4 linked regions of the Tamandua tetradactyla genome follow. The protein of the gene in region 1 binds, or shares a complex with, the protein of each later gene. Links are inferred from orthologs where the notes say so. Each region holds a gene or a part of one and is shown in the gene's direction. Other genes may lie near its edges.

The links.
Region 2: the proteins of MTOR (region 1) and DEPTOR are in contact, whole or in part, in a cryo-EM structure (PDB 7PEC), measured with the Homo sapiens proteins. The link is inferred for Tamandua tetradactyla from reciprocal best matches to the Homo sapiens genes MTOR and DEPTOR. Residues at the interface, in NP_001373429.1 of Homo sapiens: Met304, Gly305, Phe306, His1494, Cys1498, Trp1501, Gln1525, Asp1527, Ser1528, Glu1530, Glu1531, Cys1534, Met1535, Ile1536, Arg1538, Arg1547, Gln1554, Leu1556, Leu1559, Gln1562, Cys1563, Lys1566, Arg1683, Leu1685, Asp1686, His1687, Lys1710, Ile1711, Phe1714, Gln1715; in NP_073620.2 of Homo sapiens: Arg54, His56, Leu57, Lys58, Thr59, Tyr60, Pro61, Val101, Arg116, Lys119, Asp121, Gly122, Thr123, Phe124, Lys131, Ala132, Arg135, Arg138, Lys142, Glu177, Gly178, Glu179, Glu185, Cys304, Asn305, Lys307, Gly335, Asp336, Ala337, Val338.
Region 3: the proteins of MTOR (region 1) and RPTOR are in contact, whole or in part, in a cryo-EM structure (PDB 6BCU), measured with the Homo sapiens proteins. The link is inferred for Tamandua tetradactyla from reciprocal best matches to the Homo sapiens genes MTOR and RPTOR. Residues at the interface, in NP_001373429.1 of Homo sapiens: His597, Thr600, Pro632, Val644, Ser645, Gln646, Thr647, Ala648, Val649, Ala653, His686, Ala688, Gln689, Glu691, Met721, Asn722, Pro723, Ala724, Phe725, Met727, Pro728, Phe729, Arg731, Lys732, Leu734, Ile735, Leu738, Thr739, His743, Tyr771; in NP_065812.1 of Homo sapiens: Phe278, Lys282, Cys283, Ser285, Leu286, Pro288, Gln380, Ala381, Asp383, Leu384, Asp387, Glu411, Gln412, Thr414, Ala415, Val418, Trp419, Thr421, Met422, Arg427, Asn428, Glu431, Gln432, Lys973, Ile974, Asp979, Leu980, Glu981, Ser982, Lys986.
Region 4: the proteins of MTOR (region 1) and RICTOR are in contact, whole or in part, in a cryo-EM structure (PDB 6ZWM), measured with the Homo sapiens proteins. The link is inferred for Tamandua tetradactyla from reciprocal best matches to the Homo sapiens genes MTOR and RICTOR. Residues at the interface, in NP_001373429.1 of Homo sapiens: Arg1028, Asp1032, Lys1068, Leu1069, Asp1108, Asp1109, Tyr1110, Asp1150, Lys1187, Asn1196, Val1200, Gln1207, Asp1210, Val1211, Cys1214, Arg1215, Lys1218, Gly1219, Tyr1220, Thr1221, Leu1222, Ala1223, Glu1226, Glu1227, Asp1228, Leu1230, Ile1231, His1234, Arg1235, Arg1238; in NP_689969.2 of Homo sapiens: Leu204, Arg205, Gly206, Asn209, Arg245, Asp247, Val248, Glu249, Glu251, Arg252, Leu254, Thr258, Asp259, Phe260, His261, Tyr262, Arg263, His264, Ser265, Pro266, Asn306, Gly308, Ser311, Gly314, Val315, Cys317, Ile318, Pro319, Glu345, Ile347.

Annotation. Positions count from the first base shown.
Region 1 is NC_135328.1:214,143,992-214,151,643, forward strand, and holds the start of MTOR (serine/threonine-protein kinase mTOR), read left to right. Parts: upstream 1-4,649; 5' UTR 4,650-4,769; intron 4,770-6,673; 5' UTR 6,674-6,687; coding exon 6,688-6,849; intron 6,850-7,487; coding exon 7,488-7,596; intron 7,597-7,652. UniProt on the Homo sapiens protein: Serine/threonine protein kinase which is a central regulator of cellular metabolism, growth and survival in response to hormones, growth factors, nutrients, energy and stress signals.
Region 2 is NC_135332.1:164,301,598-164,308,529, forward strand, and holds the start of DEPTOR (DEP domain-containing mTOR-interacting protein), read left to right. Parts: upstream 1-3,917; 5' UTR 3,918-4,109; coding exon 4,110-4,231; intron 4,232-6,932. UniProt on the Homo sapiens protein: Negative regulator of the mTORC1 and mTORC2 complexes: inhibits the protein kinase activity of MTOR, thereby inactivating both complexes. DEPTOR inhibits mTORC1 and mTORC2 to induce autophagy.
Region 3 is NC_135332.1:72,769,548-72,777,555, forward strand, and holds the start of RPTOR (regulatory-associated protein of mTOR), read left to right. Parts: upstream 1-5,005; 5' UTR 5,006-5,563; exon of another isoform or gene 5,564-5,777; 5' UTR 5,778-5,832; coding exon 5,833-5,994; intron 5,995-8,008. UniProt on the Homo sapiens protein: Component of the mechanistic target of rapamycin complex 1 (mTORC1), an evolutionarily conserved central nutrient sensor that stimulates anabolic reactions and macromolecule biosynthesis to promote cellular biomass generation and growth.
Region 4 is NC_135335.1:89,140,774-89,148,047, reverse strand, and holds the start of RICTOR (rapamycin-insensitive companion of mTOR), read left to right. Parts: upstream 1-4,271; 5' UTR 4,272-4,297; coding exon 4,298-4,346; intron 4,347-4,518; coding exon 4,519-4,566; intron 4,567-7,274. UniProt on the Homo sapiens protein: Component of the mechanistic target of rapamycin complex 2 (mTORC2), which transduces signals from growth factors to pathways involved in proliferation, cytoskeletal organization, lipogenesis and anabolic output.

The DNA of each region.
Region 1 (7,652 bases):
CCACCAGGTGGCCGGCTCTGTCTTCATCGCCTGCCTTCTGGAAGCTTATGGTCCATGTCTGTAGCTGCTCTGACTCGCCAGAGCCAATCGTTAAATCTTCAGGAACTTTGTGAGCTGGTCCACTAAACACAGCCATTAATAAAAATTAAATTATACAAACTTCCAATTAAATTATATTAACAATAAAGGTAACAAATACTCAAAACTCATCACTTCCTAATTATTTCATTAATTTTTTTGAATCACATACGTTCTTCGGGTTATTTACACTTACTGTATCTGTATGATGGAAACACAATACAATGATGTGCTACTGCACATCTGTTCTCAACTCTTCATCCAGTGACATCCGTAAGTAGCTTGAAATCTGCCACTGGGAATACTTACACGGTGCAAATCAGCAAATGCTCGATAATTGTTTTGTTGATTATCTAGGCTTAAGAAAGGGATGGAGAAAATATTAATAATGCATGTTTGGGGTGTACCGGTAGTTCGGTGGTAGAATTCTAGCTTGCTATGCAGGTGACCCAGGTTTGGCTCCCCACCCATGCACCAGAAAAGATTAAAAAAAAAAAAAAAAAAAGCATGTTAAACTCCAGAGTGTATGAAGTCTGTAGTAATTACACTGTGTATAGCAGTGTTTAAGTTTCCATCTGCTAAAACAGATTCCCTGCAATGGCTTAACAGGAATTTATTGGCTCACTGTTTCCGAGACTGGAAGGCTCACTTCCTCCCTTGTCAGTATTTTCTGGCTGGCTAGAAACCTTTGGGGGTTCCTCAGCTTATGTCTCACATGGCAACACACATGGCCGTGTCTTCTTTCTCTTTGGGGTTCTGATGACTTCCAGCTTCTGGGAGCTCCTGGTGGCTTCTTCTTCTGTGTCTGATTTCCTTCTGAGGACTTCAGCCATATGGGATGAAGGCCCATCCTCATCAGTTTGGCCACAACTTTCAGTGGTCCTGTGTACAAATGGGTTCCCGCCCACAGGATCAGGGGCTGGGACCGGAACTTGCCTTTTGTGGGGAACATGATTCAATCCCCAACAACCACCAAAAGTTTAAGGAAATATTCTTCCAGTATTGGAAAGCTATTATCCAATTCAGCAAAAAATCATTCATGTCACTGACAAAGGAGTGAAGGCCCAACATATTTCCTGATTGTTTCACTTTCCTTTTGTTAATATAAAAGGAAATACCGGCCAACATTCATGTCAGAACTACACTCATTCATCAGTTTCAACCATTTTAAGTGGGCTATGCTATATCAAGGAGAGCATTCTGTGAGAATCAATTGGCTCTATGGAATTCACAATAAAGAGCACTGTATATTTTATTATTATTGGAAATTGTGTACTACACATCCTTTATAGCAATAAAATTTATAATACACATAATATATATGTACCCAGGATGGACCACATAATTTGCAGGACCCAATGTTCAAAACGTGGAGCCCCTTGTTCAAATATCATCAAGAATTTCAAGACAGAGCACTGTGACTTCACAGGTTCAAGCCCATGAAGCTGACCCTGTAGATGAATATATGTAGAGAGCCGCTTTCCGGGTTTGGCCTAGTGGACACGCTGCAGCCTGCTCTAGAGTTCCCCCCGCCCATCGAGTGAGCCAAGATGGCGCTCACATCCTGCTTCCGCAAATGACGCACACGCCCACCAACCCTATCTTCCAATCACCTCTGTATACGTGGCACTAACCTATTGGGTTTGGGCACAGTATATAAGAGGTTACCCGGACGGGGTGGGTGGAGACGACCCACAGGGAGCCGTACCTGACGGCCGCACAGAGGTTGTCTCCCCGCGGGGTGCTTAGGCCCGCGTGGAACCTGTAACAGAGAATGCAAGCTTAACTCCAGTAAAGGTCTGTGCTCACAACCGTTGCGTGCCTCGAACCCGTGTTTATCACTCGAGTCGGTTTGCCTGCGCCTGTCTCTTTCTCCCCTCCTGTTCCCTTCGCCGGCCGGGGATCAGAAGCCGAACGAGATGGCTGCGGACAAATATATGCACCCCCCCCCACACACACACACATGAAAGAATGATCAGTGGCCAAACCTGAGTGTCTGAAGCATTGCTGCATCAGACAAGGGAAATAAGCTAATATATTAAAATCCTGGCTCCATCACTTACCAACTATATGACTCAATCTCTCTGTATCTCAGACTACTAATGTATAAAATGGGAACAATCCATCCTGCCTCTTAAGTAATGTTTAAGAATTACAGTTCAGCAATTATGAACTGATCACATGTACCAGATAATGTTGTAGGCATTTTACAGGTATTAGCATTTAACCCCTATGACACTGTCTACAGAAGTAGGTACCATAATCATTCTTGTTTTACACATAAAGAAGTAGGCACATAGAAATTATTTGTGCCCAGGTTCAAACAGTAAGTGTTGGATTTAAGTAGCAGATTTAAGCTGACTCCAAGCCTCTTCCAAACTTTATCCTACAATGCCTACCAAAATGCCTAATACATTTTAAGTGCTTAATAAATAAAGAGCTCCTTGTAAACTAAAAAGAGATCTACAAATGCACTGATTACTGCTGTCATAAAACCATCTTTGTTAGTTAAAAAAACAGGGACTTGCTTCATTTTAAGAGTGGCAAAAATCTCCCATTTCTGGTGGGAGTGAAAATTGGCACAACTCTTAGTGAGGGCAATTTGGCACTTTCCATTGAAACTACATGTGCATGTACCTCTGATCCTGCAATCACATTTCTGGGAAATTATCTTGGTACGCCCGCCCAGGAACAAAATGATATATGTACAAGGGCATTCACTGCAGCTTCAGTTGTAAGAGCAAAAAACTGGAAACAACACAACATCTATCAATAGAAGATGGAAAATAAATTACAGTGTATTCACATAATGGAATACTATGCAGCGACAAACAAGGAAGCTTTCTATATACTGGCATGGAAACATTTTCAAGATAAAAAGTGCAGAACAATGGATATAGTTAGAAAGGGGTAAAATAAAAATATTTATTTGTATTTGCTGATATTTGCATAAAGATACTCTAGAAGGTACATAAGAAACCAAAAGAATAAATAGTAAAGGGACATGAGTGAGTGCGTGAATTTCACTGATAAATGATTTTTATTTTGATATTCCTACAGTGAATACATTCTTTTTCACTTAATTTTTATTGTAGTTATATATATACATATATGTATATAAATTTGCTATTTTAGCCTTTTTTAAGTGTACAAATCAGTGATATTAATTATTTACAAGTTGACCAACCATCGTCACCGTCCATACCAAAACTTTATCACTCCAAACAGAACTCTGCACCCATTAAGCAATAACGCCCCTTCTCCCACAACCAACCCCTGGTAACCTCTAATCTACTTTCTGTCTCCACGAATTTGCTTATTTCTAGATAGATATCTCATATAAGATATTTCACAAAAGTGAACACATGCAGTATTTATGTCCGGCTGTTTCACTTAGCATCGTGTTTTCACCAAAGTTCATCCATCTCATAGCACGTATCAAAACTTCATTCCTTTTGACCGCTGAATAATATCCCATTGCATGTATACACGGTGACTCTAATACCTACTCAGAAATTATTAATGATTAAAAAGTAGTTAAGGGGCGGTGCAACGGCGGCTCAGCAGGCAGAATTCTCACTTGCCAAGCCGGAGACCAGAGTTCAATTCCCGGAGCCTGCCCATGCCCCCAAAAAGAAAAATGTCGCTAAGAGGGTGCAAGGATAGTTTAGCGGTAGAATTCTCGCCTGCCATGAAGGAGACCCGATTGGATTCCGGCCCATGCACTTCCCAAAAAAGAAAAAAAAAAAAAAAATCCAACAAATGGTGCTGCAATAACGGGAGGCTCACGTGGAAAAAGAATGAAATGTGACCCCCACAATACAGCATACAAAAAAATAATAATAATTAAGTGCCATTTTTGTTACTGAATTTTTTGGGGGGTTGGATGGCGGGATGTGCACTGGCCGGATCCGAACGGGGTCTCCCGCGTGGGAGGCAAGCATTGTACCCCTGAACCACCTCCGCACCCCTTGCCATTGAATTCTGGGAAGTTCTTTAAAACGATAACGTTGCTTTGAAATAATTTGAGTAGCTCATTTAATTAAGAACTGGTTATAAGTTCTCAGAATGATCTTTGAGCTAAAAAATTTTTGAAAAGCGAGAAAAATCTAACTTAAAACGTTCTCAAATGCATATTACATTTAAAGAAGAGAATTCATGGAGCCATAAGCAGAGCGCGGGCGAAAATTCTGAGACGCCAGGCTCGGAATTATCCAGAGCACAGCCTCGAACCTCAGTTTACAGCCGCTTGGACCCGCCCCGCAGTACCCAAGAGAACAGACTCGGCACAGCCACATCCCCGGTGCAGAAGGGAATTTTAGCAGTGATACACCGGATGTTTGAGTGGAAGTGACGAAGTCAACTCACGACCGATTGGCTCTCCCGAGCGGACCTCAGACTCCTTTTGCCTGTCACTGGCCCCCTGGTTTGTCTATTTGAAGAATCTCCGCCCCCCGGAGAAGCCGGCTCCTGAGGCGTCATACCTCCTTCATTACTATTGGACTGTGTTCCAGCCTATCTTCTTTTTCCGTCTGTCGATTGGTCATCGGGGCTGGGGGCCCGCCCTCACTCCCGCCCTCACTCCCGCCCGGCTTAGAGGACAGCGGGGAAAGCGGGTGGTGGGATTGGGGGTCTGAAACGGCGGTACCGGCGCTGGCGGCGGCAGCTGAGGACTTGACCGAAGCCGCGCGGTGAGTCTGGGGTCTGGCACCGACTCTTTTAACGTGGCGGAATGTCCGGACTCACGGCCAGTCTGGTCCGTATGGGGTCCCGGGAAGCCGCTTGTCGGGAACGTGGGGACTCCTTAGTACCGGCACCTCGGATCTGGGCGCCACCTGGGCCCTTGACCGCCACCCGGCGAGGCACGCCCACCTCCCGCGCGACCCCCGGCACCCTCTAGCCCGCCTGACTCCCAGGCACCCGCGAGGCCTGCTCATCAGCTCCGGTGCGGCAGAAGGCCCTTGGGGGCTCTTTGCCCTGTGGTCTCAGACACGCCTTCTGAGCCACCTACAAATCCCGGACCCCCTGCCTCGGAGAGGACGCCGTCAGTGACAGCCCCTTGTTCTCCACCGTAGAGACTTCTCAGGGACTCAGTCCCCGGGATTGAGCTCGGTTCCATGCTGGGGTTTCATTCTCTTTGCCTTTCCCACGTCAAGACACTTGACTTCGAGTAGTTTACGACTGAATTCGACCCGGAGCAGATGGCCTGTGGGCCTTAGACCGTATGAAGATACACTGGTCCTTTCTTGAGAATGGGGAATCGTTTGCCAGCCGCCCACCCCTCCCCACCACCGCCACACACTCACGCACACGCAAACGGTGTAGTACTTTTCTCATGAGGGATCCTTGGAATTTCTCTTCTGTAAAAGGTGCTAATTTCCTTTTGCAGTCTTCTTGGCACTGGAGTATTTAAAAGCTTTCAAAGGCAGTTATTCCCTGTTTTTTCCTCTGCGTGTCACAAATGCATTCAGAAATAAAATTTTTTGAGTAATTGGTTTTATAATATAATTTGAACGTAACTAAGATAGGTAAATATGTGTTATTCCCGTAGGAGTCTGTCAGGAGTCCCACTATGACCACTTTATTGTGGTTGCCTGATTGTCTTTATTTACCACTGGATCTTAAGCTCACTGAAGAATGAGTGAATGATCTCAAGAATTAATCAGTCTCTTTTAGTTCACATCTGAGAAGCTAGTGTTCTATAGAACCAAACTATCTAGTACAATAGCCACCAGCCACAGGCGACTACCAAGCACTTAAAATGTGGTTAGTCTAAATAGAGATTGCTCTAATTGTAGAATACAGGCTAGATTTTGGCGACAGTACAGAATAGAATGGAACCTGCATCAGTAATCTTTTATAATGATAGCATGTTGAACTGAGATTTTGGATGTATTGGGTTAAATTAAATATTAAAATTAATTTCATTGGTTTCTTTTCACTTTTTTTTTGAAATATGGCTACTAGGAAATTTAGAATTATTTTTGTGGATCGTATTTTATTTCTGTTGGCCAGCACTGCTATAGAATAATAATCTCCCTTTTTAGATTAAACTCCTTGAGGAAGGGGGCTGGCTTACTCATTGTTTTATTCTCTCCTTTCCTCCCCACTTCTAGTACCTGGTGCTGTGCCAGGTATATAGTGGTAATAATGATAAAAATAGCTGACACTTATTGAGAAATCACTGTGTGTCTGACCCCATTTTAACTGCTTTTTTTTTTAACCTGTATTAATTCGCTTGATCCTTACATCAACCCTTTGAATTAGGTACTATTATCCTCATATTGTAAATGAGGAAACAGCTACAGAAATTTTAAGTATCTTCCTCTAGGTATATAATCTTGGAAGTAGATTTAAACCCAAGTAGTCTGGCTCCATGGCACACACTTTGACCCACTGTGTTATGCTGCTACTCACTGTTGGGTGAATGTTTTCTAGGCTTTCTACATTTTCCTCAGTGAAGTCTCCCAGCTCTTAGAATCCCCTACCTGACCTGGGGCCGGGGGGAGTGGAGATCTATGTTGAGGAGCCTAGGGCCAATAAATTCATTCCCATAGTTCATATTCAGAATACTAAAGAAAGCTTCTCTCCAAAGAACCTTAGGGCAAAATGCTTGGAACGGGACCTGCGGCGGCCACCACAGCTACCACCACCTCCAGTAATGTGAGCGTTCTGCAGCAGTTTGCCAGTGGCCTGAAGAGCCGCAATGAGGAGACCAGGGCCAAAGCTGCCAAGGAGCTCCAGCACTACGTTACCATGGAGCTCCGAGAGGTTGGGGGCTTCTGTGATTTGGGACCAGTCATTGTGGGGTGTTTGGGCTAAATTACCATCACTGTTTTAGATGCTTTTTGACAGCTAAGGAGGATTTGGAAATGTAGAGATTCTGTTTTGGAAAAACGACCAACTTGTAATGTCCATAGACTATACAGGTTCCTTTGCAGTGGTTTCACATGTCTGTGGCATTTCTTGTGTTTGTGGTAACATTTTTGGAGTCAGAGTAGAGGCTGTCTTTTTTAATTTATTGTCTTTCCTGCCACGTACCAGACCCTCATTTCTTTCTTCCTGATTATAGTGGCTGGGGAAGTTGATAACCTGGAGCTATCTAAGTAAATACTCTACATGAAGTCAGCAACAGTGTCTTGTTCATCCTTGTACGCCAAGCACTAGGTAGAACCTAGGACAAGATGTTTCCTACCATAAAGTTGATAATTAATAAAGATTTAGTAAATGAACAGATCCAATTATGAGTTCCATTGCTGCAGTTTAAAGCTGTAAAAATGGGCAGTAACTTTGTCTTCTTTGGTTTAAACTGTACCTGCTAAAAACCTCTCAGGTCCTAATCTTTGGAAGGCCCCCAACCCAAACCAGGAAGACATTAGAAATTGTTCTGAGCACATCTTCTTTTGCAGATGAGTCAAGAGGAGTCCACTCGCTTCTATGATCAGCTGAACCATCACATTTTTGAATTGGTCTCCAGCTCAGATGCCAATGAGAGGAAAGGTGGCATCTTGGCCATAGGTAAGCATGTCGTCTCTGATAACAATAACAGCTAGGAATACAGCCCCACTTATTTT
Region 2 (6,932 bases), on another chromosome or scaffold:
AGGGCTGGCTGCTGTAATCCTTGGCTTCTACCTACCTCCCGTGGCCCCCAGACTCTGAAGTCCCAGTTGCCTCACATTTAGTTTTTAAAGTTCCCTTCTTAAAGGATATGTCAGTAGAAATATTTGGAAAGGATTATCACTAAATCAACTTTGCCATTCATAAAAATCATGGCTGTGGGAGAATCGAGGATCATTTATGGTTAATAACAATATAAATCCTCTGATACCATAAGAATTTATAGAAGGTGTAATGAACTGCTTAAAGGAGTCCAGGAAGAGGTCAAAGAGAAGGTGGGATCTGACTTAGTCCTTTAAGATTGGGCAAAAATAATCAAGGTATACGTGGAGAGACCACACAATAGTAATGGCAGCTCATTAGGCTTCATAGATGACCATATTCTTTGACACATATACTGATTCAAGTGCATCTTTTTCTTACATTGCGTCCACCCTTTAGAAGCGTGAACTAGCATTACTGCACAAAGTGTGGTCTCCAGACTGGCAGCCACTGTCCACGATGAGGGCAGTACTGGCGCTGAGAGAAATTATTTTAGAAATCTTTATAGCAATTTGACAAAATTATTTTCTGTCTTTTGACTTTAACAATAAAAAAATCGGGGGTGGTGTTTTGTATGTCTTTTTATTTAGCTCTTATTGTTGTTTCAGTTTCCTAGGCTGCTTATGCAAATGCCATGGTTTGGCTTAAACAATAGGAATTTATTTGCTCGCAGTTTTGGGTCCAGAAAAATGTCCAGATTGGGTCACCATCAAGGTGATGCTTTGTCTCCAAAGACTGGCATTCTAGGGCTGGCTGCTGGTGATCCTGTTTTCCCTGTTAACCCAGCAAGAAGTTCTTAGAAGGGCCACGGCAAGTCACAGGACCGCATCTCCTGGTCTCTCTGGGTTCTGGTTTAGCATCTTGCTTCCTGCGCTTTCTCTCGCTCATGTTTGAATTAATTTTGCCTATAAAGGACTCCAGTAATAAGATAAAGACCCATCCTGGTTGAGGTGGGGTGCAGCCATAACTGAGGTAACCTCATCAAAAGGTTCTTCTTATAATGGATTTAACACCCACAGGAATAGATTAAAATTATGAGCATGTTTTTTTTTTCTGGGGTACATACTGCTTCAAACCACCACAATCATATTTTACAAAAGTATCAGTCTTTGATGGATTGAAAACATACATATACGGAAAACTCATCCTTCCTAGGAAAATTTGAGAAACATTAGACAGAAGCCCAAAAACAGCCCAAAAGCATAAAGGAAGTGAATGGGGTCAGCAGGAAGGAAAGGCTCAAATTGAATGAATCGTCCCATATGGAGCCATGAATCAAACTGAAGTCTGTCATAATTCTCAGCCCTTCTAAGAACATCTTGCTGGATTAATTGCCATCTCTCTCCAACAGTATCCATAGATGACAATTTACTCTGAGACCAGTTGTTCCAAGGCTCACTGGTACCCACATGTCTTGAGGAGAATGCTCACTAATCTTTCCTTAAGTTAGGAAAAAGGGTCTGTCTTCAACTTAAAGGAGCATGGTGTGTCTCGACATGTCAAAGGAAAGATTAAAACATCAAGCCAATTCTTTCATTTCCCAATCATATCTTCCCCAAAAGGTTACCTTCTTCCGGTAAAGCAGCAAAAATCAATCATACTCATTACTTCCTGTTGGAATAGTTTTATCAGGTATTTTCCCACCTTAAATTTTGTTGTGCCTCATTTTGAAGTTCCAGTAATAATTTTAAAAAAATTAAAATTAAATTAAAAAATTGATAATTTAGAAAAAGCATTTTGTCTAACAACAAAAACTCATAATGGAAACTATTTTGGCAAGAATTTCTTTTTTTCTCTCTCTCCTCTATCTCCTCCTTCTTAATCTTATTATTAAAAGCGGTAGTGTTGTTAAAGAAAATAGGTATCAAGGACATATTATATAAAGAGGAACTTTACATAATGTTATTTCATTCAAGTCCCACAACATACCTATAAAGCAGGAATTATGGTTCCTATTTTAATGATAGGAAACTGAGACCCAGAGAAGTTAGGTAACTAGCATAAGGTTGCAAAGTCAGTAAATGATATAAGCAGGGTAGGAAGTACATATTTGATATAAAGTCCATGAAAACTCTTAATATACTACCTACTAAAATTACAGGGTTAGAATATATGTGCAAAAGACAGCTGTTAATCTCAGTAACTCTGGGGTATTTCCTTCAGTTAAATGATTTTTAGATTTTGTGCAGAGTGAGGCTCTTAGAATGCCAGTCATCTGGAAATATGTCTCAATTGACATGCATTTCCACTATGCTTTATTTTAAAAATTAGAAAATTTAGATACTTTCTTTTGCTGAAAGAGTTGCCCTGTACAGCCTCTGTTGGATACACAAGGAAGTCGGACATTTTTCTCTTTCTGGAGTGTCCTTGAGGATCTGCAGAACTAGTTCAAAGGGCTGCCTAATCAACTTTCTAGATATGACATTTAGGCAAATAACTTCCTATCTCTGTGTTTAAGCTTTCTCATTTGTAAATTGAAATAATGATATCTGTCTCCCAGGGCTGTTCTAAGAGTAAATTTTAATTTATCTCTAATTTATACTAGAAATAAAATGCTTAGCACCATGTAAAGCAAAGAATAAATGCTCAACAAATATTTGCAAATTTTAAGTTTTTACTATAAGTAGTTTTGGAGAGTGTTGGAAAGGGCTACTGAGATTTTCTTTAAAAATAAAAAATAATTTTAAAAAAAGGAACACAAAACCCACAATATAAAACAAGCCCACAGGATAGCAGGTATAAATAGTCTTGGACAACAGAATTGCTAAAATTGTACAAAGAAGTTGGTTCTCAAAGTCCCTCTCATTTTCATTCTTATTCTCTAGACTTCCACTATGTATATGCAATTGAGAAATCATGTCTTTCAAAATAGTTATTAATAAAAAGTAGCTTCATATTCACCCATTGTAAATAGGCACACAAGCGAATAGATACAAAAACTGTCAAAAGCTGCATAAGAAATCATTGCACAGATAACCTTTACCGCAAATGACCACTGCCATCAGCACTCATTTGCCTTTCTCTGACTCCCTGCAGGGAAAGAATGACAGGACATTTGACGCTAGTTCTTTCCTTGGTCTTCATCTGATCCCTGTGAGATAGTCAATGCCATCGTATTCTCATTTTAAGAGATTATCCTTTAAGAAAACAATTTTGAAGCCAGCATAGCCTGGGTTTGACTCTGCCTTCTTGCACTTACTATCTGCTTGCCTTGGACACGTTGTCTCACTTCTGTTAGCCTGTTTCCTGAAGTAAACTCAGGACAATATTCATTTTGTTGTTGTTGTGAGAACTAAACAAGTTAACAGTGTACCTGAGGCATCTATTAAGCACCTATAATGCAGCAGATGTCAGCAAGTGGTAGCCACACAACCACTTATTTTGAAAAGGAAGAAGTTGAGGAGTATAAATATTTAGGCAGATAATTACACGTGAAGCACTGCATCTCGGGTCCATCTGATTTCCACGCCCACATTCTTTATTGATTACCCCATAATGTAACTCTCTTTGATGAGGGGGATTGAGCAAGAAGCATGCGGAATTTCTCCATGACTTGAAGTGACATTTATACACTCCCTTATTCACTATTAGGCTATATTGCGATCAATTTTACTTCTCTGACAATTCGGGGGACGAAAAGTAATAAAAATATCCTCGCACTTCTCTGGTAACCTTTCCGTCTGAGCATGAGACTTGTAGGACCCATAGCATGAGCTTTGTAGATACAGGAAGGAGAACTCACCCAGTTCCAGCTCTGCCAACACGCGGAGCGCAGAAGCAGCGCCCTGCCCAGATGTTTATATTTTCCTCCCTCGGCCCCGCCCTCTGCCCACGCGGGGCTCCGGCCACGCCCCCTTGCGGGAGCTCCAGGGGCCCAGGGCTCCTAGTGCCTCAGTCAGCCCAGAGGGATTCCCTCCCCAGCCAATAGCGTCTGAGCAACGGGACTGCCCCTAACAAAAATGGCGCGGGAGGCCGCTGTGAGGGCAGGTTAATCTTAACACCCGAACCCGCCGCGGACCACCAAGATAGGGGTAGCGGCGCAGTCCTGACCATGGAGGAGGGCGGCAGCGGTGGCAGCGGTGGCAGCGACGGCAGCACCAGCGGGAGTGGCGGGGCGCAGCAGAGGGAACTGGAGCGCATGGCTGAGGTCCTGGTCACTGGGGAGCAGCTACGGTAAGGCGAGGGGTAGAGCGGACGTTCGCTGGGGCTTGCGGCTCGCTACTTGTGCGGGGCTCCCGGGCAACTGCGGACGCGTGGAATGGTCCCCGCTGCACCCTTGCCCAGGGCTGCGGCCCCGCGCGCGGCGGACACACGACTGTCGCGCGGGTGGTCCGGGCTGCGCTGTGCGACGCTGCTGCAGCCCGGCGCCCGGAGGACTCGCTGCCACCCTCCGCGTGTTCTCTCTCTTCCAGGGCACCTAGGCGCTGCCAGGCCTCCCGGCTCACAGCCCGGGCTGGCCCGCCCAAAGAGGACGGGGACCCGTGAGGGCCCCGAGCCTGACCCCAGCCCCCTTGCTCCTAGATAAAAGGAGCCAGCCTAGCGATCGCCTTCATTTAGATTGTCCTTTATGTTGGCAAGTCTCTGAGCCTCAGTTTTCTCATCAGTATAATGGGGGTGAACACCTCGCCTCACTTGAAGATTTATTTCGGGGGACTAAACCCAGAACATTGCTGAAACACTCCACCTATCACTTAATTGGCACATCGTCATTAATCATCGGTGGATTCCGCTCGGGGGCGTTGGAGGCACCTGGTGGTCCTGCCCTGCTACTGTGCCAGCCCCTTCAGGGCTCACGGTCTGGGCGCGGAGTCCGGCGGCGCGGGGCTGCTGCGGGCACCAGGACTTGCCGGCTCTCACCAGGCCCGGGAACAGGCAGTGCCCTCCAGCCCCGCCTCGCCATTCCCATCCCTTCTCGGTCCTTTTATGTTCCAGAATTGTGCTTATGATCTGACCGGTTCCGCTCTTCGTGCGGTCAAAAATCAGTTTGCCCGGGCGGGGGTGAGGAGGGGATGGGGTGCGGCGGCACCGGCTGGTTCTGCAGCGTCTGTCCGCCGGCTTCTGGACCCATCCGAGCAACCAGCGCGCCAGTTCCTTCTAGCTCTCGGTCGGAATCTCCCGGCTCATTTTGGTTTCTAGATGCTGTATTTTAGAACCTCAGGGACGGAGAATCTTGCAGAAGTCCCAAAGGCTGGGTCACCACCCTGCTTGCAGCACTTAGATTGAGGAAGTAAATATTGTAAGTCAGAGTAAACGGAGTTAAACGTGACGAAAGGCAAATTGTGCCCCCGCTATTCTTTGTTAACCTTTTTTTTTTAAGCGAATGGTCACTATTAAAGGGAATAGAATCTTTTTTTCCTTCATCGAGAGTATTCTCTATTTAAAAAAAAACACTTTTGATGTAATCTGAAACACTTTCCATTGCTTTTACAGACACTAAATTACAAAATGCCAATATTTATCCTTCAAGATGCAGCTTACATGCCTTTTCCTTGGAGTCCTTGAGTGCTTAGGACCCATCTGCACTGGTACAATTTTGAGAGCCACTTGGCATGTTGATAAAAAAGGCAGGGGTCTTGCTCTCACTCAAAAGTTAAACCGACCTGGCTTTGAATTTTTGCATAGCCACTTTACAGCCAAGAGTCAGCATTAAGGGGTTTTGACAAGGACTTTAAGCTAGACTGAATCCCTGCTTCGCCTCTTTCACTAGTGTGCCACCTTGAGTAAGGTAAACCACAAATAATGGGTAGTAATGGAACTTACTGTGCTGTTATGAGGGTTGGGTGAGCTAGCCTTTACGGTAAGTGTAGCCTGGTGTACAGCAAGCAACATGCCAGCTTGTGCCAGTTGTAGCTCTGTGACTTTGAACAAGTTAGTTCACTTCTCTGAGCCTCTGTTTCCTCATCTGTAAAATGGCAATGAAAACAAGTTCTTCATGGAAGTTGTGAGCGTTTGGCCCTGGGCTTCATGTGAGTATTCAATAAATGATTGCTGGAATTAATTAGTATTGTCTCTGTGAGTCACTGGATGTGGCTTCCAGCAGAGCAAGATCTGGCAGGAAGGATTGGGTAGTGGTGACAAGCACTGGATACAGACTTAGGCTACCTGGGGTCTTATTCTATCTTAAACTATTAGTTGCATGACTTGGGGCAATTTACTTAACCTCTGGGTGCCTCAGTTTCCTTTTCTGTAGAAAGGGGTTTCTAATGACGCCTCTTTTGAAATTTTGTGAGTTTAAAGGAGATGCTAATTATAAAGGGCTCAGTAAATGTTTGCCATTTAATTTTGGAAGATTTTAATCACTGCTATTGATATCTCAACAGTCTTAGTACTGTACTTTAGCGTATAGTAATTACTCAATAAATATTTGAATGAATAGTGTATGTAATCCACAATACTATTCTATTAGTAAGGAGTAATAAAATATTCCGAATTTAAGGATTTAAGTGGCCGTATGCTCTGGCTTTCTGATTACTGGAGGAACCCCTCAGAAAAAGATGGGATTGTGGCCAATCACTGTTGTCGCTGTCATAGCACATTTCTTACATCCTTGGCTGGCCTCTCAGAGTCTGATGGTGGGGACTTGGTGATGGATCAGCCTCCTGCTTCTGATTACTTCGTACCCACAGATCTCTGCCATCTCTTGATGACTGCTTTCTGGCTCATCAGAGATGAGGCAAAGAGTGGAAAGAGAAAACCAAGATCTGTTCTTTGAAATAAAAATGTTGACTTTCAGGCCCAGCTGTCTGAGGTTTTTCCTATTTAATTTTTTTTTTAAGCTTTGTTATCTTGAGCAAGTCAGTTAACCTCTCTAGACTATAGCATCCTTACCTGCAAAATGGGATTAATTATATCCTTTCATGTACAGTTTTTGGTA
Region 3 (8,008 bases), on another chromosome or scaffold:
GGGGGGGAAGAAATATCTTTCCCTGTCTTCGTAGATGGACAGGTGAGAGAGCTCTCATTCAGTCTATCCACACAATGATTTTAGAGAATAGCTCGAGGTGGACGTGCAGGGACCTTCTGATACTTTTGCATGTATGTTGTCTTGGGCATATGAATGTGGCCCTAGGAAATCCCCCACTTACATGGTTCCGAATATCCCTTCTTCTCTAGGAATTTCCTCGCGGTCAGGGGCACTGCCCTGTGTGTCCCACAGCAGCAGTCCCCTGCCCAGGCAGCGCAGCTTGCCTGCTCACCCATAGTGTTCTGCCCGGTGAGCCTCCTTCCACATGCAGGACAAGTTCTGGGACAGCGAGTCTCTCAGGCCACCCCCAGACAGACTGGCCCAGACACACCTGCTCCCAGGGTGTCCAGGAGGTCAGACTGCTCCCTCTGAGGCTGGGACCGGGGCACTGGCAGCCTGGGCAGCTCTGTGCTGAGCTGGTGAGGGGTGGGGGGCGGGCCAGCCAGGGTACCATGGGGTTCTACCAATTTCAGTACCTGTTTTCTTGATTTGGTGCTCACCCTGTTTTTGAGGCCCTTTAACCGTCTTCTGGAGCTTTGAGAAAGACGTTTCTGCCAGTTCTTTTTGGTTTTCGAAGCTTCTCTGTTGGGGGGGCGAGCCCTGAAGCATCTCACTCCGCCGTCTTGTTCGGGTGGGGCCTCTCTTAACACGCTATCTGCAATGGGCACATGTCCATCTTCTTTGCTCCACCTGCAGGGTCCTGGGGGAGCAAGGAGGGCGATCTTGGAGTTTGTGACCTGGGAAGGACACTTGTTTTCATCCTGCTCCACAAAGAATTTCCAAGGGCTGTGGACAGCGGGGTCAGATCCAGGAATGACTTGGAGGTGGACTAACTCATCTGTCCAGACTGATTGGCTAGAGGGTCCTCACTGGACCAACAGGGAATGTGACCCAGACACATTCCCCCCTCCCTCCCTCTGCTCTGCTTTCCACCTTGCTCTACATTCTAGGTACCCCAAACAGGTGCTTTGTCATCCCGGACAACACAACCCCATGTGGAGAACAGCCTCCCAAGAGGGGAGGCAAGGGCTGAGGTAAAGGTCACATTTCACTGTCTTCTCCCTGGAAAATTCTTCAGTATATGCAGGACTGAGGCTTTACTCCTGGTCTCTTGTCTTCATGCAACACGCCCAATTCCTTCTCTGCTCTGCCTTGCTGCTGTCCCTTTAAGGCTGGGACGGTGCAAAAATCCTCAATTCTGAAATAAGAAATGTGGCCAGTGAGTGAAGTTTATTGACTAAGGGGTCACTTTTCACCATAGTCCCCACGTGACTCAGAGGTCATCCCTTATTTAAAGCAGAATAACACTGTTGATTTCTGCTTATCAAAATAATACACGCTCATTGTAAGAAAAAAGTTATAAATAAAATAGAAAAGTATACTGTGGAGAGTGAAGATCACACATACATCTACCACCGTATTTTTAGAAGACGACGTGGAAAGTGAGAGAGACAGACTTGTCTTCTCGCAACCTCGCATTTCCCACTGGAGGTGATGCTCAGGTCCCATTACTTCCCTTTCCTTTCCCTTCTCACTTCACTGTCACCAAAACATCTGACCTGCAAGGGTGTGGTGGGGGACGGCTTGGGTTTTGCTAAAAACAGAATAATGATGCTCGGAGAAAAACAAAGTACTTTATATCTATTTTGGTTTCTTTTAAGCTAAGCACAGATTTCTCTGGAAGGGATGGAGCCGGCCGGTCTCTGTCTGTGGAAAACAATAGCTCAGCAAAGCACCCAATTTTCTGCAGTTGTCCGACCTTGGGTTTCACTCTTGATTCTTGATGATGACAAAGCACACTGAATGCCCTTGATTGATTTAGTGTAGAAACTGCAATATTGGAGGATGGAAAACCGGTGCTGCGTGCAAATGGAACACCTAGGCTGCAAGGGTCTTCCGTTTCGGGGAAAGATTAGGTCAGTTGGAGTGGGCCAGTAGCAGAGCTTCCAGGCTGTGAAAATCCAGTCCCCTTTGACCTTCGTCCACAAATTGCTCCTTACATTAGGTATTTAATCCCATCCTTTCTGCCCAGTACCCCCTCTCACCTTCCACCCCCCCTCCCATATTTACCCTTGACTTTTGTTCCATTTGATCAACACACTCAGGTTTTGATATTTGTCCTCTTGCCCACTTGGCTGTATCTCTGGCTTCAGGGTGTCTTTCATGTAGCAGGCAGAGTCTGAGTTTTAGGGCTGGAAGGCATCCTCCCGTCTGTCCTCACATGGTCAGGACACATCCCCCTCTCTGAGCAGGCAGGTCAAGGGCTATTCTGATATTTCAGATCAGAGCTGAGCCTAGAGGCCCCTCCCCTTCCCCAGTTCCCTCCACATGGGGCCCCTGCCCACCATTGGCAGGATGGTTTCTACACCCCTCTGCCTTGCCAACACTGCTGTCAAGTCTTATATAAAAGACTATTTCTTTCTAAGACTCAGTGGGGCAGGTGTCATGAACGACCCTCCCCCATTTCCATAGCTTGAATCAGACCAAGTTTCATGCATTTTTTTTTTTTCTTCAGATTTGTAAAACTTGTTGAAACTATTTTGTCTCGAACCTTTGCGGAAAGCAGATGTCTTTGCTTCTGAAGAATTGGAGACACTGGAAGTTGGAAAGGCAGACCCAAGTGGCCAAGCCAGGCCCTGCCATGGTGATGGGATCACCCAGCTGGGAAACATCAGCCCTTGGATTTTAGCCTGTTGTTGTCATAGGTGCTTCTGTGTTCCTGAAATGTGGAGCTGAAGGGTTGTCTGGGACTGGAATAGAATCATCCGGGACACGTGGAATGAGATTTCTTTCCAATGTCATGATGTGATGAAATGACTCAAGCTCATGTTTGAATCTGTAGGTTGGAGGCTGGGCTGCCAGGAGCCCCTTTCTGGGTTTTACACAAATGACAGGATTTTGTATCTGAAGGGTCCTTAGAGAGCACCTTCTTCAGGTTTCTTGTGTCACAGATGTGGAGACTTTGGGTGGAGACAGGCAGAGGCTCTGCGGAGTCTGCAGGTTTCAGTGGGTGGGCTGGAGACTCGGCCTGGGCACTCACCCCCTCCTGGCCTCTTGATTCTGGTGTCACATTGTACAGCAGGAGAAGAAGTGTTTTAGTCTGAAATTTTCAGTGTTTTCTTGCTCTGCTTTGCCAGGTGCTTTACAGTAAAAAAAAAAATTTTTTTTTGGTTCAAGTATTTATTGAGGGCCCACATGTATTTGGAGCATTGAAAGGGACCTTAGAGAGCAAATTGTCTAATGTCCCCAAATATGGCTGATTTAATCTATCATTGGGGTTATCTGATTGAAAAAATGCAGATCCCATTTCTCCAACCCCTCTTTCCCAGTTTAATAGGTTCAAGATAGAGCCAGGCATCCTTATTTTAAGTATTTTCCCAACTGCCAAGTTATGCACTATGGGCTCATCTCTTAACGTCACTTAGTGTGTCAGACAAGGTAAGTGGATTGATTCCCCAGGGTCACATGTTAACAGGTGGGTACACTGAGCCTCAGTCAGACTGAGGGGGTTTGCTCAGGTTTGGAATGGACAGGTTTAATCTGGGGCTCCACTGCAGCACAGGGTCCTGCTGGAGGGAGCTGCCTGAAGCCCAGAGGTGCCACCTTCCCTGCTGTCCTCAGCCTGAAGACAAGGCAGGGGCCAAAGTTATTTTGTTGCCTTCTGGTGAGAATAGGGTCTTCCCAAGTTCCTGCTCATGATTGTGGGGATACTCTCTGCCAAAACGTCGTAGCCCCCCTTTAAGGATTGGTGAATTTGCCCTGATTTCTAATGCGAGAACTGGGCTTAGTGGGGTATAATAATGAAACAAATGCAATGAGAGTAGATTGAGTTTGCAAATTTAAATGTTTGCTATGGGTAAGAACAATCTTGCCCTCATCTGCACTTCCACCGTTGAGAGGAGAACATGCCATAAGGATTTGGGGGCGGACAGCCACATTGTGTCAAAGTCCTAGGAAGCCACCAACAGGGTATCCTCGAGAGCCTAACCTGAGGTTTTCGGTTAAGAAAGCAGGAAGGGTTTGCTAGATTTCACTCTAGCCACAGAAAGATTATTGCTAATCCTTATTGAATGCTCACTATATACGAGGCATGAGTTAATTTTATCCTTCCAAGCGGGGATTACTATCCCAGTATTACAGTTGTGGACACAAAGACAGCTAGTTAAGGGATTGGCCAAGGTCACACAGATGGAAAGTGACTTGGCCAAGATTCGAATCCAGGTGTGTCGACTCAGAAGCAGAGAGGAAGACCGAGTGTCTGCTCCGTCCCGCTTTAACTAAAGGTATGTGTGTGTCTCCCTAGACACTAAGTTTATTGAAGGCAGGGACTGATCGCTGCATTCGGCTTTATATTCCCCACTGCACTTAATAACAGTTTCCTGCGCATTGTAAATAAAGAGTGTTTATTTACACTGAAATTGAGAAATAAAATAATCTGGGAGGACTGCCTCAACGCATAGAAATCCATAGCTTTTGGTCTTTGAAAAAACAAAAAACTGCTCAGAAAATATGGTGGAAAAAACAAAAAATGACCTATGAGGTATTTTTTTTTCAGTTGTTTTTCTCTGAAGAAAATTAAAAACAGAACCTGCTGGTCTGGGTACTGTGGCAGATACTAAGTACAAAAGATACTAATTTTCTTCTGAAATATTATGGATTTTTTTCCTGAAACTTATGTTGCCTTCTTTTCAAAATCTGGAAGAAACAAGGCGGTCGGTTCCTTTAATTACACAAGCATGTAACTTGGGTTGCAATAATGGATTTTCTTTTTTCAAAATTAATTAACTGAATCTGGTTTCATTTCTGGGAGTGACTGTAATACCATGCGGCGATAAATGAAGAGAGGCCGAATTGTGGTAACCCAGGCAACCAGGCAGGAAATTCTTGTCTTGCTGGATCTAGAGAACTAGAGAAGAATGCTTTAAGGAAGTTTGGCCCGTCAGGCACGCCATAGATTGCAATGCATTCTGGGTCTCGGCAACATGGCGTCCTCCTTGATGTGCTGATGAGAGGAGTTTCACTGTCGCTCCAAACCAGAGGGCAGAACTCTCCAAACCCAATAAGCCCACGTTACCGTTTTATCCGCGGGGCCGTGTCGCCCTTTCCTTAGGACTCGTTTTCAGGCAGGATTGAGCCAGGGTGCCGAGGGCCAGGACCAGCCAGGCCGCGCGGTCCCGGGGCTGAGGAACCGGCCGCAGGCCAGCACGATGGGCCGATCCTGGCTCTGGTTGCAGCAGCTTAGGCGAGTACGAGACCCTCAGGGCTGAGAGTGACTGGAGGAGACCTGAGGCGCCCAGAACTAATAGCTCTCGGCCGGAGATCTCGTCCAGTCGGCGAACCGGCACCAAGACCGGGGGGCTTGCCTGCCCTCCGATCTGCTGGGGCGGTGGAGGCCGAGAGCAGGGTCATCGTTAGGCCTGAAGTCTCACGCCTTTGACAGCTCGGCTCCCAGACGCTCGGAGGACGGTCATTCTAGAAGCAGCCAGTGGCTTGGGGTCTGAGGGTGTGTGAATTTGTGTGGAGCTCCTTGGGCTGCCCCGTTTGCCACCGGCTTTTCCTTCGACTTCCCGCGCAGAGTTAGAGATAGGGAGCTCAGACTTTTTGCTTGAGTAAGGGTCTCTGCATACTCTCCATTCATTTCTTTTTCTAACCCCCCCCTTTTTTTTTCTTCTTTCTTTTTCTTATTTCACCAATTCTGGTACACGCTGATTTTTAAGGCTGGAGGTTTTGGAGCGCTTACTGCCAAGGACTCCCCCACCCCCTCCTTCCCTGATGGAGTCCGAGATGCTGCAGTCGCCCCTTCTGGGACTCGGGGAGGAAGATGAAGCCGACCTTACAGACTGGAACTTGCCTTTGGCTTTTATGAAGAAGAGGCACTGTGAAAAAATCGAGGGCTCCAAATCTTTAGCACAGAGTTGGAGGATGAAGGACCGGGTAAGTAGGTCCTAACCGAGTCCCTTGGACCTTGGTAATTTTGCCAACGAGGAAAGTTCAGCCAGAGGCGTGTCCTTGGGAAAGCGCCGGTATTTTTTCCCAGCCACATGTTACAAGTCAACCAAAAAGCAAGAAGCATTTCCGACTCCAATGTTTGGTTGAAAATGGGAAAGATTGTTTTGGTTAGTAATTAGTGGGTAGCGTTAATTCAATTCAAACGAAGTTCTAATTCAGCTAGTAAAAGTTGAGCAGATTTGGAAATACAGTATTGTAAATATTTATACACTCTTTACTATATCTAGTGCTGTTGGATTTAGAGAAAAGACAATTTGGGATATAAACCAACACTTGGACCCATGTGGATAGTCTACTTTTGGGGGAATAGGGGGTGGGTTCCAAACTGGGTAATTACAGAAGTCTAATATAAAACAGTGTGCTAAGAAACAGGATTACTGTGAAATGTTCAGCTAGTAACAAATTAATGCAAGGTTGTTTTAAAGTTACAATGAGTTTCATTATAGTCCTCTCAAAAGTTTGTCTAGAATCTAGACTCATATGGTATTGTGGTTGTTGTACCATGGAAACAGAATTTCTTTAATAGTGGAATTTAGCATATGATGGTTGGAATTTGGGTCCAGGCGTTTTTAGTGGGTCTGGGCCCCCATGGTGCTGGAGTGTATTATTCATTGGCTCGCAAGCAGCTGCTAGGAAAGAAGAAAGCCATTTTTGTAGAATGCATAGTTAATCAACCACATGTTTCCTGGTCTTCAAAGCAAAAGGGTGGAACCATCTCATCTGTGCACACTTGTAATTTGGCCTTTTGTGATTTATTTTCTCCTTCAAGGGTGCCTTTATTATTTGAACTGAATTTCAGTGGTATAAAAAGGGGAAGTTGGTGTTGCAATACAATATGGTTTGTTCTAGGCTCAGTACATGTTTACAGGAGGTTATTGTTTTTAATATCTGATGTTAAACATGTAAGATTACTCTATTGTAATTCAACCAGTGCTTCAGTTATTGATTTGGTTTATTTTTAAAAGATTAGGAAAACTTCTTTCATCCAAGAGTAGCTTAAAATGTACAATAAACGGTCATTAGGAGAAGAAGTCTGTTGTATAAACATCTTTAGTACTACTTACATAGTTTAAAGCTTTTGGGATTGTTGTTCATGTATGAAAAGAAATTTATCTTAAAGCAACTCTGTCTAATCTTTTTTTCCCCCACATTCTATTTGGAGGGCAATTTTATTTCCTTTGAAATGTGGTTCCTTTTACTACCTTAAACCCACGCTCAAATTGTTCAAAACTGATTGATGGATATATTTTGATATATATTAATTTGTGAATGCCGAGCATTCCCTAATAAGCTTGTCATAGATCATTAAGTAAAGAAAAGTTGTGAGAGTCTGAGTAACTATTGAGTTTGCCATTCAGAAAAGAACCAGGGGAGAAAGTTTGCTGTATCTGACCTTTGCAAATTGCTGAATAATGACGAAAATCAACAGCTAACAGTTTCTGTTACATTTGTGAGAGGTTTTAAAGAGTCCTTGAAGTCTCTTTCCTCTAGTCAAAAAACTCGAGGGGGTCTTTTCAATCCACTGGACTAGAATTAGAAGGTAGCATAAATGAACAAAGCAGGTCAGGTATGAGAATAATACTGGCATAAGTTCAAAGATAACATTTGGCTCAGTGTCTTGTAGATTTTCAGTGTCTGGTAGATTTTTTGGAGAATGGGAATGGAGGGTTCTGGAGAGCATATTCCTATCTAAAGAAGGCAGCTGGGCCTCAGCTAGAATTCTCTCTCGTGTGCATTATCTTTTTTTCCTTCCCACCCCTGCCCCCTTCCCTCTCCCCTTCCCTTCCTGCCCCCTATTTTCCTCCTCCCCGCTTCCCTCCTCCTTCCCCTTCCCCTTCCCTTATTTTTAAATATTGGAACTAAATGAGATATTACAAATAACTATGCAGTGCAACACTGCAGGCCAAACAAAACCACCTATGGACTGATTTTTTAAAAT
Region 4 (7,274 bases), on another chromosome or scaffold:
TAGCTTCTAGTAGCATGTTATGTATTAGACATCTCTTTTAAAAATTAAATCTAATCTTTTCCTTTAAGGTATAACGGTAACCAAGAAATTTACTACTTTTCAAAAAGAATTTTGTGCTACGAAGAGAGTATTAAAAAAACAGAAAATTTGAAATGTTTCCAGTTTTGTGATTTTTTTCTGAAAACATTAAAATTATTAGTCACCTATAAAACCCTTAATATGTGCACATCTAAATTTTATGTATGCAGCATTTTTTCGTTTATTTAAAAATCTTCCAGATGAAGTGTCTCAGTGGGTTTTGAAACCATTTGCTAAAACTTTATGAATCTTACATTTCCAGTTTACAAGGAAAACTGACAAGAGAATACAGACATTTACTTGCCAAAGTAGATCAACGGCCCTTTTTTTAAAACTGATGGATGGCACTGAAAAACCAGTGTTAGAATTTAGAAACTGCTTAGTTTCCATTTTTAACCTTGTATTTTGTGAGATATCAGCTACTAAAGCCCAAATCCAAATAAGCTCTTTAAACTGGTCCTCTGAATTACTAGCTCATAAATTATTTAACAAAAAATTAAAAAATTAGGAAGTATATTCAGTCCTATTGCTGTTTAGTTCTACCATTAATATAGCAAAATCCAAAATTATTTTTTACCATTTAAATTTAATCTTTATGTTGTATGTTCTGCTTTATAAAGAAAATAGATGTACATGTATTGGGGTACATGCTCAAATGTTCCTTTTTTAGTAATGAGATGTACAAACAAGTCTGACAGGTCCACTGGTTAGCAGATTATTAAAATCAAATGTTTGTAATTGTAGTTTAGTAATGTCAAAAAAAAAAATCCCTAAAATAGTTTTCCTAAGGAAAAAAAACTATATTGGTAAGTAATACAAATTTGCTTTAGAACCATTAATACAAGGAAAAGAAGGATAAAAAACACTAGAAATAATCCATGTTAAAATTTTAGTGCATTCCTTTGAGGATTTTACTTTTTGGATATTTCTGCATCTTTCTTTTTCACAAACATAAGTATATTCTTCATTTAAAATTGTATGCATAGACGACCTTTATACCTTACAGAATTTTAAAAACTAAAATTTAAAAGAACTTTTGGGACAGAGATTAAAATTTAAATGACTAATACTGGGAGGTTACTTTCTGCTGTGAGCAAGGCTGAAACTTCATAATCAACCCTGTGTAGGATTATAAGATTTGTTTAATTTAATCCATTCACTGTCATTTTCATGGCCTTTATCTAGATCTCAAATGTGTGGCTTAATTATGTAGAGAAGTTACCAAGAAATAGATGACTAAATTTTGCGGTTTTCAACTTGCTTTATCTTTATATGTCCTAAATAACAAGACAAAGAGATTAAAGGGAACTAAGATTTCGGTAAGGCTTTTGTTTCTGTTCAACATTACAAGTGTATCTGAAACTGATATTGTATGGTTTATAATGTAAATTATCCTGTGCCCAAAAGGATAGACAATAGACCCCAGAGAGTGATTATTAGTAGAGTCATCATATCTTTGGAATCAGTTTATCTTTTAGTGGGGGGATCTTAGACCTACTTTCATACAATTTCTTTTTTTTTTTTTTTTTATCAATGACTAATGTTATGAGAAAAACATTCATTGACACTGTACACAAAACCTGGTTGGGAAATGATAACTAAGAAGAGGAAGTAACTTTCTTAATGACCAGATCAGAATCAAAATGACACAGAAAATTGGAGAAGTAGTAAGAGGCAAACAAAATAAGTAAGACATAGTGTGGGCTAAAATAAGAAAAACAAGTTTCAAAAAGAGGAATAGCTAACTATTCTCAGTAACACAGAAAATAATTTAGGGATTAAAACAACCAGCAGACTAGGATCAATAATGTTGTGCTTGCTATTGTTTAAAAGGCAAAAACAATATTGTTAATTGTATTCCTTACTAAAAGAGATGTGTTCTCTAAACTGCTTTCTTGTTGGGCATCTCTTTTCACTTTAAGAACAAATGTGAAGACCTTACTTACCCACTCAAATGACTGAAATAGTTAACAGGAAAAACTAGTTTCATTGTCAGATTGAAGAAAGAAGATACTTTTTTTTCTGCCCTAACAGATGAAGTAAATGAAGAAAGGGGTGATTGAATAAATAGGAACATACAGTTATAAAGATGAAAACCTACTGGATTCAGGCTCTCAAATCCTGAATCTCAAGTACTTTAATAAAAAAGTGGATCAGTTGTACTCTACTTTCATGAAAGACTGAGAGAATGAATTTAAATTGTATTAGGAAGAAGTTAATTTACAATAGATATAAAAGATCAGATAAAAAGGGCTGATTGAAAATTGGAACAATTGAATTTCCATGGATACAGATCCATTTTTTTTTTAAGTGGTGAAATGTGATACATGGAAGGAAGAAATATAACATTTTTAATATTCTGGTCAGATCTCAAGTTTTACTGCCTAATGCAGTAACTAGAGTAATTTGCACAAGGACTTGCAAAGTCTAAAAGAGGGGGCAAGTTTTCTGTTACTGAAACTTCTGGTACTGTCAGGAGGCATTTCTTTTGAAGTATGGTAATTGTGTTGCATCTTTTAAGTGCACATGAACTGCAGATATCTGAATGCAATATCGGACTGCACAGACAGAGGGTTTCTTAAGGAAGCAGGGATCCTGTTTTATTTTCCTGATGCTCCTCTATGCCGCTTTTTTCTTTTTAAAATTTTTGTTTATTGTACAAGAGATATATATTAATTACAGAACACTTCAAAGATAGAGATAAACAAGGACTAAAAACGCATGTGAAATTTCACAATTGCGGGTGGGTGGGGGGAATCAATGGACATTTTGGTATATAATTTCTCATATTTTTCGGTATATATATGTAATTGTATATTATGAAATATACTTATATGTATTTTGAACGTTTATAAAAATCGTAACTTATATCTTTGTAATCTCTTTCTTGATTTAACATCATACACAGTATTTCCTACTACATCACTTAAAGCCTGCCGAAATTTACATAACCAATCCCCTACATTTAGTCATTTGTTTCCAATTTTCCATTATTATAAACAACTGCAAAATCCATCTCCCACATTGGATTTTAAAGCAAGAAAAGCATTGGAACAAGGAGGAAATCCAGGGCATCTACTCATCCAACATGTTTAATGAACACAGGCTGGGAACTGGGAAAAGAGAGGTGGCTAAGGTCTCCACCTCAATTAACTTCCAGTCTCATGGAGTAGAAAGAAAAACAGTTGAGGAACAGGAGGCAAGAAAATGCCTCTTTCAAAAGTGAATTCAGTTTGAAAGAAAGTTGCGGGATCAAGGGTTATCTGCATATATATTGGATAGCTAAAGCAGTTTCTACCATTAAATAGCCCAACGGTTAATAACTATTAGGTTTATGTATAACAATGTCAATACGCATCCACAGTAGCCACTGCTCTAGAAGCTACACAGACAGTAAACCCGGGCACAAGGCTCCGCAACCTCTCCTAGGATGTAGAAAGAGAGGAAACGCCCTCCCCCCGGCCTGCTGGCGCTACCGCGCGCCCGGGAACAATCCCACCGCCGGAGACGACCACCCTCCTCTCCCGGCTCCTTCGCCACTGCCTCACGCCCTACGCTAGGCAGTCAAAAACAAGACCTCCATCCAATGATTCCGACTCGGAGAAGCCCTGAGTATGGTTTTGAATGCTCGCACGATGGTCAGAGCGAAAGGGAAAAACAAACTTTGTTGCACGTTAACTTGGTTAGAGGAAAGCGACTCTCGGGAGCGATTTAAGTGAGGTTAAAACTGTATGCAGTGTTTCTGAGAAACACCGTTTTAAATGAAGAATAAAGGGGCGAGATTGTCTATCCCAGGCTCGAAGGCAACAGAATCCGGCAGGATGCTTTCAGCAGGTGGCCAGTCGGCCGCCTCCCAACCTCCTCCAACTCCTGCTCGGTTTTGACCGTACGGTTCCGCGGCGGCTGGGGGGAAAGTATTCTCCACGCTGCATATTCCCATCAATGGGATTCCCCTCGTGGGAAATGCCTCTTCTTAGCAACACGCGCCCTCGAATTGCCGGACCGGCACCGCCCTCTCCTCATCCCGGGTGGGCGCTGAGAGCTGCTCCGAGACGCGGGGCCACCGGCCACGCGCCACCCAAAGACGCTCAGGCGAGCAAGGGGCGGAGGAGATGCAGCCGGGGCGGGGAGGGGGAGGGCGGGCACGGCGCGCGGGGAGGGGAAGGGGTTCTCGCGCGATTGGGCGAGGTTTCCGGTGTTGTGACTGAAACCCGTCAATATGGCGGCGATCGGCCGCGGCCGCTCGCTTAAGAACCTTCGAATACGAGGTAAGCCTGCTGCAGCCCTCGCCGCATGCCGTTCGGCGCCCGCTACCCCTGGCACTTGCCTCCCCCTGGTCCTGGGTGGAGGGAGCGAACCGGGGCGCTGGCTGTATCCAAGGCTGCCGCCGCTGGCCTGCGAGCGAATCCTAAGTGGGTTGTGTGTCTGTGTTTCTCGCAGGGCGGAATGACAGCGGCGAAGAGAATGTCCCGCTGGATCTGACGCGAGGTAACTCACGGCGCCTCGGGCTCCCGCGAGGGCGTGCTGGTGGGGAGGAGTCGGGGCCGGGGGCAGGGGCCGGGGCCGGGGCCGGGGCCGGGGCCGGGGCAGGGGCGGGCTCCCGTTCGGGACCGGCGGGTGCGGGGGCAGAGCCGGAGCCCCGCCTGCCGGCCCGCGGGAACCGAGCCCGGGGCCGCCTCTCCGGACCGTCCCCATCCCCCTTCTTGGTGCTACTTCCCTTGCCCCTCGCCCTCCTCCCGGCCTCGGGTGCTGCGGTTGCTGGGAGCCCCCAGAGGGACTCGGCGGGCCGGTGACCCTTTAGATTCCCTGAACGCCCCGGAGCGTTTTACCCCTATCCCAGAGATCGTACAGTTGAATCCTGGGGGCGGCCGAAGGGAGGTAGAGTTGTTATTTAGGTTGCAAGAGGATGTCTGAGGGAAGAGCGACCACATCCTGCCCTGCCGGTCCCCCGGATCAGAAACTGGACCTTCTCAGTGCTTGCTGATTGCGTGACTGCTTTTCTCTTTGCCCACCGCCTTGGGGGACCCCAGTGTTGATAACTCGGTATTGAGTCCTGGAGCGGATCCTCGCTGCTAAGTGTATAAACTGTATTCCCTCCTGCTTTCCTTTCTCGGCCGCTGGGACAGTAGTTGGCAAAGACTGCCCCCTTACCCTGATGCAGGTTCATTGTTTACCTTCTGCAGTGGAGATGGGTTTGTTTACACCTTCTGAACTGGGTAAACCCCGGTTATATTTTTAAGGGACTAATCCTGCTACAAGTCAGTATTTCTATTACCAGTCGACGTACTGGAGTTTATTCGACGATGTCTTGTTGACAATTTATTAGTAATATACATGATTTTTCTTTTCCACAGTAAACTCGATTTCGTTTACTGATTCCAACATTCCTATTTCATACCTACTATAGCTTAGTGTAATCTGATTCAGGTACACAAATCACTTTCCGTTTTGAGATCTGAAAAAACACCCTAGGAAGTTATTAAAAAAAAAAAGTCGTTGTAAACATTCTATATGAAATAAAAGTTTTTGCTTTTTTACCCTTTGTTGTACTTGACATAATTATTCTTATCTACAGAATTTGTTAGAGGTGGGATTATTGTTGAGTCTCATATCTATATTTAAAGAATAATGAATTATCTTTTATTTTGTTTAGCATAATGTAAGATTACCCTTAGAAACTGTAGGATTAGTTTCTTTGAACTATAAGAGTGCATTTCTGTAACGATATTTTATTCTGAAAGTTCGAGGATTAGGTTTCTGTAAACATATATCCTTTACAGGCAGAAGAGTTTCTAAAATACAACATAGTAGGGCTTAAATAATAGAAATGGGGATTAATTAGATCGTCAGTGTACTAAATCAGAACATTTTTTCCAGCAGATAGGTTTTGAGAATTAGTGTAGAGATGTAAAGTTTTTGACTTTTGTATGACAGTTTAGAAACTTGACTGTATGTGGTATATAACACACATATGAGAAATATGAATAAAATATATGTAGAAAAAGATTTCCTTATAAACTTCCTAACAAAATGAACGTAATTTCTTCAAGAGCAGAAACTTGGCAATCCAGTCCTGTAACAGATGTAGTGTTAGTGATTTAATTTATCTATGAATGTATGTTTTTTAGATGGAAGTGCATAGAGTACTTATTAGGTAGATTTTATTTGTGCGTTAAAAACTTGCTAGGATGTGGTGCTGACTATAAGTAATGACTGTGTTTTAAGCTGAGTTTGCCGAGGTTTTATATATAGTGAGTTCTCTGATTAGTGCCAGAATTCTGGGTTGTACAAGATTATGGTTGTACAAAATTATGTAGGAATTTGATTTGATGCTATTAGTTTGCTGCAGTTTCACTTAAGTATACAGATAACTCTGTTTTTACTATTTAAAATGGTATATTCCTTAAGCAGTTTATAAACTCCTACAATGTCCATAGATATTTCCAGGGTAATATAAACTGTGCAGAAAATGCTGTTTCTATTTGCCCTAACAATATTTACTTCAGTTCGTAGTAAAATATACACAGTCAATTGAAACTGAAGGCAAAGGCAATATACAGTTAAGTGTGAAAGGTTATATGAGGACTGTATTCCTAAATTCTAAGGAAATTTAGAATATAAAAAGTAATCTGAATTAGATTCATTATATAGTGACACTATTGTTTAAACAAATTGTTACTCTGACACACATTTCCTTGTTAAAAGAAGGCTTATGGATCTAACGTGAAAGTTCATGAGAAATTAAACTTTAGGAATAACTTCAGAAAAGACATAGTTGGTTGGAGCTAAAGAGTAGCAGTTTTTGGATTAGATTACAATATGTAATGATGGCTTGGCTTACCTTGCCAAATTGAGGTCTGGGAGAATTTCTTTGGTTTTGGTACTAAAGCTTCGTACTGGGTGCTGGTACTGAAACATAGTATTAGTGCTCATAAATAGTGTACCTTAATTAAAAATTGTTAATTGAAACCTTTTAACCTAGTTTAGGAACTTTATTGTCATAGATTGTACAATTTATTGGTAAATGTTGCTTTCAGTTTTGTTTAGACAACTACCTAATTTGTGAAAGATCCTGAAATTTGCTAATATATCATTATTCTATTTTGCATGCTCACATCTATTTTGAAATCCAAATGCTTCCCTTAGCCACTTCCCTTCTAGGAGAGACCATTTTTTATCATTTCAGTAGTGCATTT